Linked DNA regions of Drosophila melanogaster. The protein of the gene in region 2 interacts with the protein of the main gene of each other region in a biochemical or structural test. Each region holds a gene or a part of one and is shown on either strand. Other genes may lie near its edges.

What was found. The genes of interacting proteins can lie anywhere in the genome.
Region 1: of the proteins of ball (region 2) and baf, one has a biochemical effect on the other in vitro, tested with the Drosophila melanogaster proteins (one study listed by BioGRID).

The regions. Positions count from the first base shown.
Region 1 is NT_033779.5:8,027,097-8,031,767, reverse strand, and holds baf (barrier to autointegration factor), read right to left. Parts: upstream 2,307-4,671; 5' UTR 2,161-2,306; coding exon 2,035-2,160; intron 1,953-2,034; coding exon 1,806-1,952; 3' UTR 1,203-1,805; downstream 1-1,202. Other genes in the region: CG7367 (uncharacterized protein), read left to right, coding at 3,389-3,530, 3,592-3,754, 3,829-4,460, 4,527-4,671. UniProt on the Drosophila melanogaster protein: Plays fundamental roles in nuclear assembly, chromatin organization, gene expression and gonad development. May potently compress chromatin structure and be involved in membrane recruitment and chromatin decondensation during nuclear assembly.
Region 2 is NT_033777.3:26,864,105-26,868,392, forward strand, and holds ball (ballchen), read right to left. Parts: upstream 2,704-4,288; 5' UTR 2,672-2,703; intron 2,552-2,671; 5' UTR 2,421-2,551; coding exon 2,187-2,420; intron 2,131-2,186; coding exon 565-2,130; 3' UTR 501-564; downstream 1-500. Other genes in the region: IntS12 (integrator 12), read left to right, coding at 1-352; His2Av (histone H2A variant), read left to right, coding at 2,989-2,991, 3,305-3,382, 3,565-3,678, 4,252-4,288. UniProt on the Drosophila melanogaster protein: Serine/threonine-protein kinase involved in somatic mitosis and female meiosis.

The DNA of each region.
Region 1 (4,671 bases), on a different chromosome or scaffold from region 2:
TGCGTTCTAGTGTTGCCAACGGCTTACGGGAAAAGCGTAACTTATAGCACAAAAAGCCGTAAAACAGCTGATGTAACGCAAGAGTTAAAACGTTTATCAATTTAAGCGGTGGATCGGCTGGTAATCACGTCTTGGAAAGGCGATTATTGGTAGGAAAATTAAACTGACACACACACACACACGCACACTCACCCAGCTGCAGGGAAATTTGAATGGCACACACACATACAAACGCACGGCGGGGTTTTTGGTGGGGTTCTTGTTTCTCTTCGTTTTTTTGTGCTTCAATTCTTAAACTCTTCTAAGTGTCCAGCTGAATCTTGAACTGCGTCTTTGTTTTTCTTTGCTGCCTGGGCAGCCGATGCCAACGTACTCGAACCTTATTTAATAACTTTGGCTCGTTAACTTGACAATTTTGTTTACTATTTACAGCTTTTTCCAAGGAAACGTTGTTGCTACCTTTCACAGGGTTTACACTTTTGTGTGCGAAGAGCAAACGACTATTTGGAAGGGAGATGGAGAGAGCGCGAAGCGGGCAGTTGTATTAGTCCGTAATTTTGTGCATAATTGCACCCGCTTGCAATCACTAATTAATTAAGACGAACGCTGGGGCGATGCACACAAAAAGTCGATTTGATTCGGCCGCACATCAGAATGTTTGGCCTGTAACTCTGAAATAACACACAGAGTAGCAGTGACCGCACAGCCTTTTTCCCGCTCGCACTCGCGCACCTGCACCGTCCCGTCTGCCGTCGTGTATGGCCGTCTCGCTCTGCGAGTCTATATACAAAGAAAAACACACACACACTGGCACACTGGTGTTCGCATATGCCAAAGCCGAGTTAATTTCACTTTGTTTAATCTATCGTTTGGTGTTTTTGCATTTTTTAACCGCGCAAACGGTATTTGCGCGTTTTGCGCCTCTTACTTTGCGATTTATTGCACCGCTTGGCTGTGTTTTGCAATTTCTCTCTTAATTTTCATTGGTATTCACGCGTAATGTAATTCTTAGCAGCGTGACCGCGCCGATAACGATAAAAAATACCACGGGACCAAAAATAAATACCATATGATACCACTTCAGGGAAAAGAAATCCTATTTAATACCACTCACTTTAAAAATAAGTTTTTAAAAATATATATTTTTATTTAAAAAAAGTTGTATTTATAATCAAATACTCGGTACTAATTAATTACTCGAGGACAATTAATTTTGACAAAAGGGGTTTCATTATAAAATATATATTAACCGCTTACACATAATCCCCAAACAAAACAGCGATTGGGATTTAAAAGGTTCTAAGTCCATCATTATAAAAGATCATTTCCGAAAAACAAAAAGAAATAGATTTCAAAATTAGGCGACATCAGCCCGCTGATAAAGAAACATCAAAAAGACAGAGGCTTATTTCAGCGAGTCAGAGACTCCTACTCGCCAACAATCGAAAACATAGAGAAGATATAGTCGCCAACCGATCTGCCTTCTATAGTGTTGCTTATTGTTGTCCCCTAATCAAATTAATAAAAATCTGCATTAGGCTGCTTCGCCGGCCAGCAACAAATGTTTTACACCTACTGTACTTTTCGCAGAACAGAGATCCAAATGCAGGATCGTTTCCATGACTGTACATTTATTCGGATTAGACATTAAATTACACCCTACAGCTATACATACTAACAGTGAACACGGCAAATGCTTAGCTAGCATTGGGCCACTTTCGTTGACTGCGAATAAAAATGATTGGCCGATGCCTTTAGCAGATTCCTTTTGATCGAATTACTCGGATGGCTTGTGTGTCCACCTCTTACAAGAACTCCTCGCACCAATCGTTGAGACAGTTGTAGCAATCGGATGCCTGTTTGGAGCTGGCGTGGCACACCTCCTTCATCCAGTCCTTGAACAGCTCCTCGTCCTTTTTCAGCACCAGATACTGTCCCAAAACGGTGTAGGCCTAAAACGAATGGAAATGATCGTTAGCACTTGACTGGCATTGTTTATTTGCGCACATGGCGTCATCGTATTTACACACGCACCATATCGAATCCAGCGTCCTTCAAGCGTCCACCGAGGGTTTCCCCAATTCCGGCCAGTTCCGTCACCGACTTGTTGCCCATTGGCTCCGCAACGAAGTTCCTGTGTTTCTGCGATGTGCCCGACATGTTTGTAGTTTGCTTTGCTGCTGCACGTTGCGAAATTCCAATGCTTAGCTAGATTTCAATGGCAAAATATTCGCGGCGTTTCTGAAAATGACGCACAGCCAGTGTGGCAGCAAGTGATATTTTCGAAAATGCAACAACACATCTAGATATACTAAACAAAATTAGGCAATGTAATAGGCCACGTAATTCTGGCTTTACTCATTTGCGCACCCAACAATTAACAAAGTTTAATTATTCTTTTACATAGCATTGGCAAAAAATAGAGTTTTATAAGATGCACTCAAAAATGTTTCTTTGAAATTGCGGATTACATATTTTTGTAATCTACTTAATCTACTTAGGTCAAATGCCAGCAATATTTTACATGTAAGATGTATGCTTACATGGTTTGATGTATGGTATTTTACATGACCGTTTTAGATTTTGAATACTTAAAGTTTTCTATAAATTTGAAATTTGTTATAATGTTAGTGCATTAAAGTATTGCATTTGTGAAAAATTTACATAGCCATCGCTGAAAATCTAAATAATATTTAATCTATGTGTACATAAGATGTAGCATTTTTCATAAAAACACTTATAAAAATGTAATTGTTATTGTAACTTATTTAACTAAATTACCGAACATATTTTCAAATATTTATATTGTTCCACTTTTCAATACCGGGGCAACGCACCTTAGATTAGTATGCACCGATGAACTGGGCTTAACCCAATTTAACAGCGCCGCGCTTGGGACGCCCAACTGAGTTGGAATGATAACGCCGAGACCCTTCCGACCGAGGCTTCAACCTGGCCAGCAGTCCGTCCAAAACTCCAGTCTTGATTGACACCTGGCCCTCGTCTAGCTTATCGTACGCTATAAAATCCACACACCCGATTCCCGTGGCACAGTGACGTCGACTTTGGTACAGAGATGTTAGCGCTTTGCTGGCTTTGTGGCCTGGCCCTTAGTTGTTGGATGGGTGAGTTGGGAGTTACGGGGAAACGGATATACATATGTGGCTTTGTCTCACCTGACCGAGATTCGCGCGCACACTGATGCTGAGTAATTAAAACGCTCCAGGCCACAAATTAATTGCTGGGCTGGAACCGGTTTCGAGGATTACTAATGCGTCAGCCGCCTTAATGAGCTTGGATCTGGGAAGCTGGGAAACTGGGAGCTGGGAGCTCCGATCTTTGGAATCCGGCGTCCGATCAGTTCAAGATCGACGTTTAGCTGGTCAAGATGTCCTCGAATGCGCTGGCCTGCATCTGTAATGTGATCAATCCGTGTCGCAACGAGGTGTCCACCACATTTGTGGTGGTGCAGTGGCTCATCACCGGATTCGCTGCCCTCGCCCAAGTGGTGCGACCCGTGCTGCTGCTTTGTAAAATGTTTTCAATTCGATTTAGCCATCCTTCTAAGCATAAGTTTCTGCTCCATTTTAGTTGGCATTCGTGGTGAGGTGGCTCTAAATCAGGAGGATTACAACAAAACCTGGATCTACATGCCCAATGGACAGGGTAAGCCTGAGGTGGCCTATCTGGTGGAACCTCCGCCCGAAAACCGCATCAATCTGCCACAGCTCATCAAGTTCGAGCTGTACGGAAGGTGTGTGGTTTTTTTTTATTTGATTTGAAGAGTTATCTTTCGTAGTGGTCACAATTTGAATCCTTTTATTCCAGCGACTCCAGTTCCAGTGCTGATTTCTGGATAGATGAGAATAACTTTGAGTTTCCGCAGCGCCACAAGCGAGACACCTGGCAGGAGATGGCGGAGAAATTCAATCCGGAACTGGACACCAAGATACTCGTTCACGGCTGGAAGTCCAGCACCATGAGCAATTCGATTCAATCGATTCGTGGTGCCTATATCGAACGTGGCCAGGTGAACGTGTTCGCCATCAACTGGAAGGATCAGGCGGATAATATATACTATCTAACACCGGCGCGATATACGGTTCAGGTGGGACGGGCGGTGGCCAAGCTAATTGATCTGCTGGTGGAGGAGAAGGATGCGGATCCGAATAGGATCCATCTGATTGGCCACAGTCTGGGCGCGCACATCATGGGCTATGCTGGTTCGTACACTAAGTACAGGGTAAACCGCATCACTGGCTTGGATCCAGCTCGTCCCGCTTTCGAGGATTGCATTGGTCCGGAGAATCACTTGGACGACACGGACGCCAACTTTGTGGATGTCATACACAGCTGTGCCGGATACCTGGGCTTTCGCAAACCCATCGGCATGGTGGATTTCTATCCCAATGGCGGTGGACCACCGCAACCAGGCTGCAAGGAGCTGTCGCAGATTTTCAGTAAGTTTTGGGAATTGGTTTCAATTTCTTACAAGCAGAATTGGGAAATTTCTTTTTCATTTTCAGCTGGTTGCAGTCATGGACGTTCATATGAATATTACGCGGAGTCTATTAACTCGCCCAAAGGATTTTACGGTGTTCCCTGCTCTGGACTGGATGAACTCAAGGGAAAAAATTGCACCGGCGGCAAGATCCTAATGGGTGATCCAGT
Region 2 (4,288 bases):
GACCAGCAAAGCCAAATCGTCGGTCGCGTCGTCGCGCTCATCGAACTCTTCCAACTCCTCGTCACCCTTCTACCGGCCCGAGCCCAGCAGTTCCACGAATGCCAGCAGCAGTAGCAGCAGCAAGCATGGCCACAAGTCCTCCTCTTCGTCGTCGTCCAAATCGCACAAGGAAGAACGATCCTCTAAGTCCACGGCGGCGTCTTCTCTTAGCGCCATCGGCGGAATGGAGAAGCACAACAGCAGTGGCACCTCATCGCGACGCAGCGGCTCCAGCACCAAATCCAGCTCCAAGAGCAGTTCCTCCAAGCATCACGAAAGCGGCAGCAGCAGCAAGCGCAGATCCAAGCAGTAATTTAGCATCTCTAATAATTAAGTATAAAGTTACAATCCGCATAAAATTCTGAACGTTCATTCATAATAATAATTCAATAATTCATTTTCAATAAATGATTTTTAAAGATATGTACGTGCTATCGAATTCAGTAAATGTAGGTAAAAGTAAGAAAATATTTCAAGTTTTTATTAATGAGGTTACAAATGTAAAAATACAGAAAACAAAGGCTCCTATCCCTGGTATTTCCGCACAGTGACGGCTGGTGTCCGCGGACTACGGCCGGGCGTGGAGGAGTCGCCATGGCCGTTTACCTTGCGCAGGTTAACTCGGGTCACAGGTGAGGCCTCCTCCTTCGAACTGGACGCCAACGCGCTGCGGGATGAGGGTGTACGTGAATCAACCGCCGTCGCCTTATCCTGGTCCGCTTTCTTTTTGCGTTTGACATTCACAATTACGTTGGCATCCATGCTAACGTCGAGCTCGAAGTTAAACTCATAGGTCTTCTTGGAACGCGGCTGTGGAGTGAGGTCATCGTTGATCACGGTTTTGCCACCGGGACGTCCACGCAGCGAAATAGACGGGCTGAAATTGATCTTGGCATTGGGAGTACGGAGCCGCGCTGCTGTTGGTGTCTGTGGCTTGGGGCTGGCCTTCGGCGTGCTCCTTGGCTTGGGACTGGCCTTGGGCGTAGCTCTCTCCCTGGGTGTTGACTTGGGCTCAGTCTTAACGCGCTTCTGGCTGGGTGGTGAACTATCTGCGACTCGCTTCAAGGGCGATACCTTGGCGTTTCGGGCTGATGGGGTGACCTTTTTGGCTGTCTTCTTGCGATGTGACTTCTCCTCCTCCTCCTCATCATCTTCGCTGGCGGAGATTTTTTCGTCCAGTGATGAGTTCAAGACTGGCGAATCAATTTTTTTTGCTTTCCTGGCTGTTGCTGCCTTGCTCGTGCCGGGCGGACTTAGATTATTGTTGCTGCTGGTCTGTGGCTTCATCTTAAAGTCGAGATCTCCGTTGTTTGGAATTTTCAGCTGCTTCAGCGCACTTGAGAACCAACTGCGACACTTGTCGTAGTCCGGCTCCTGGTTGTGTGTTAGTTTTGAGACATACTTCATGAAATCCCCAATTGGCGGGGGCACTCCCTTCGGAAACAGCGTCTTCAGACTCTCGCCTATGTTATCCATAAATGCTTCCTTGGCCTTTTGAACTTTGGGGGGTACAGCCAGTAGTTTCTGCGTGACCCACGGCAACTCCGCGCCCAGCCACTCGATGAGATTGTAACCGAGTATCTCCAGATCAGCTCGTCTGGTTGGCACGCCCAGATGAGCATCCCTTGATGTGTATTCTATGGTGCCATTATGCATCTTCTTGGGGTCCGGCTTGAAGTCACCGGTGACGAAGTGTGAGGCCAGGCCGAAATCCACCAGGTACGCCTGCGCAGCGCCGCCTTTTTCCAGGCCCAGCAGTATGTTGGCTGCCTTAAGATCGGCATGAACGTAGCCGTTGCTGTGCATGTACTGATAGACGTCCAGCATCTGAATGGCCAGTCGGTAGACAGTGCCCTCGGGCAGTCGCTTGCCGTTCTGTTCCAGAAACTTGGTCAAATCGCTGCCGTAGCGCGGCATGACTATAAATCGATGCTTTTCACCATTGACCTCCACGGAACCATTAGCCAGTATGTAGGGCATGCCCAGGGACTTGAGACCGTGCTTCTGCATGAACTGTTTGATGTCCTCCAGCTTGGCGTTGCGCAGGTAGAAGTGCATCTCCACGAACAGAGGACCATTGCCATGTGGCTCCTAAAAATACGATTATAATAGCAAATCTCCACAAAAAAAAAACGAGCGGCACTCACGCATTTGACCACAGCATCGTAGTTCTTCTCACCCACTTTGCAAGCCGCGTAGATCTCACCGAATCCTCCAACTCCGATCGAGGGTCCAATGCGCCACTGGCCTTTGGCTAAATCGGTGAAAACTGTGCCCTCCTTCACCTTCTCCGGCATCTTGTACAGCTTGCTCTTGGCCTTCTTGGCCGACACCACCTTCTTGGCCGGAGCGGCGGCTTTCGGCTTGGCTACACGCGGCATTCTCTGGGCAAGATCGTCGTTAAATAGCGGCCAAGTATAATATTCGCAAATTCCGCTCGAAATGCCGGGCCATCAGGGTTGCCAATCGGCGCGGGGAGTAGCGTCCTTCAGGGTTGTCAAGTGAGTGACAGCTTAAAAAAAAATATAACCCAGTAGGACTACTTGTAAAAACGACGTATTTCCAGGGCTGTTGCCGAGTCATTGAAACATAAAAATAAAAAAGGATGATTATGATTTCAAGGATATATTACGATAGACAGCTCTGCAAAACGGCGCCACTTGGCAATGTGCGGCCACAAAAGGAAGCTACCATCTAGGGGTGAGGGCATATCGATTGGCCACACATCGATATATTCCGTTCCACCCCTGGCGTCCGCTGACGGCGTCTTTTCCCCGAAAAAATTTCAAGTAGTCGAAACCGAATTCCGTAGAAACAACTCGCACGCTCCGGTTTCGTGTTGCAACAAAATAGGCATTCCCATCGCGGCAGTTAGAATCACCGAGTGCCCAGAGTCACGTTCGTAAGCAGGCGCAGTTTACAGGCAGCAGAAAAATCGATTGAACAGAAATGGTAATATTGCGGTGAATTTTTGAGCGGCAGCGCATCTCGCTTTTCCCACTGCGCGTGCCCCCCGCGAATTAAATATTGATGCGGGGATTGCGGAGACGCGGACAACAAAGTGCACGCAAAGTGGACACCACGTAGGCCGCAACAACAAGGAGCAGCGAAATCGGCGGGCATTTGTTATTGTGCTGCTGCGGGCAATCGGCCGTAACCTCACTTTGGCAGCGGTGCCTCCATTTTGTGTTTTCTTCTGCGACTCGTGCCACATTCGCTTTAATTCGTTATTTTAAGAAATGCATTGTGCTGTGTCTATTCGCAGGCTGGCGGTAAAGCAGGCAAGGATTCGGGCAAGGCCAAGGCGAAGGCGGTATCGCGTTCCGCGCGCGCGGGTCTTCAGGTGAGTTTTACAATCTGTACCTCGGTTTTTGGCGCCTTTTCGGTACCCACCTCGCCAACGAGCATATTCCACCACACTAACAGGGTGCCCGCCTTCGTTGGTTGGTTGGGGTTGACAAAAACATAAACAAGCCAGCCGGTCAAGCCAATTAACCAGTTACCTGCCTCTTATGTCCCGGACAGTTCCCCGTGGGTCGCATCCATCGTCATCTCAAGAGCCGCACTACGTCACATGGACGCGTCGGAGCCACTGCAGCCGTGTACTCCGCTGCCATATTGGAATACCTGACCGCCGAGGTAAGTGTGCTTCCGCCGAGTTTTCCCGCTTTTCTCTCGTGGTACTTTTTCTCGCTTCAATGTAAACAGCATTTACCAGAAATATTCAAGGGAAACATTTTTTTTTCCACAGTTGCATTCTCTCCACTTTTCTTATTGTGTACAGTTATTTCGAATTTCCCCGTTCCAATTCAAAAACACACTTTCTTATTGACATTTCGTGTGGAATGAGAATGATGAAAATGTACATCTAATTCATGAAATGCTCGAGGCGCACATTATCAGTTGTTTAAATCTAAATAACAGTAGTTTCGATTTAATGTATAACGCTTTTAATTTTCTAAGAATTATACAGTTTTATAGAGTTTTTGCGCCATTAGGCAGTTACACTTTTCCCGCCTTTTTTCCGAATATAACGTTTACCGTTGAGTTTTTTTTTTTTAATGTTGTGATGTTTATTTAAAGAAATTTTATTTAAAAGATTTCAAAGTTTGTTTTGGTAATGAGCGATACAAGTAAATAAATTGCTTTAGCTTTTGCTTATCCTCAATTGAAATCTTTGATTAATTTCTTTGGTTTTCCCAATCATTTTAGGTCCTGGAGTTGGCAGGCAACGCATCGAAGGACTTGA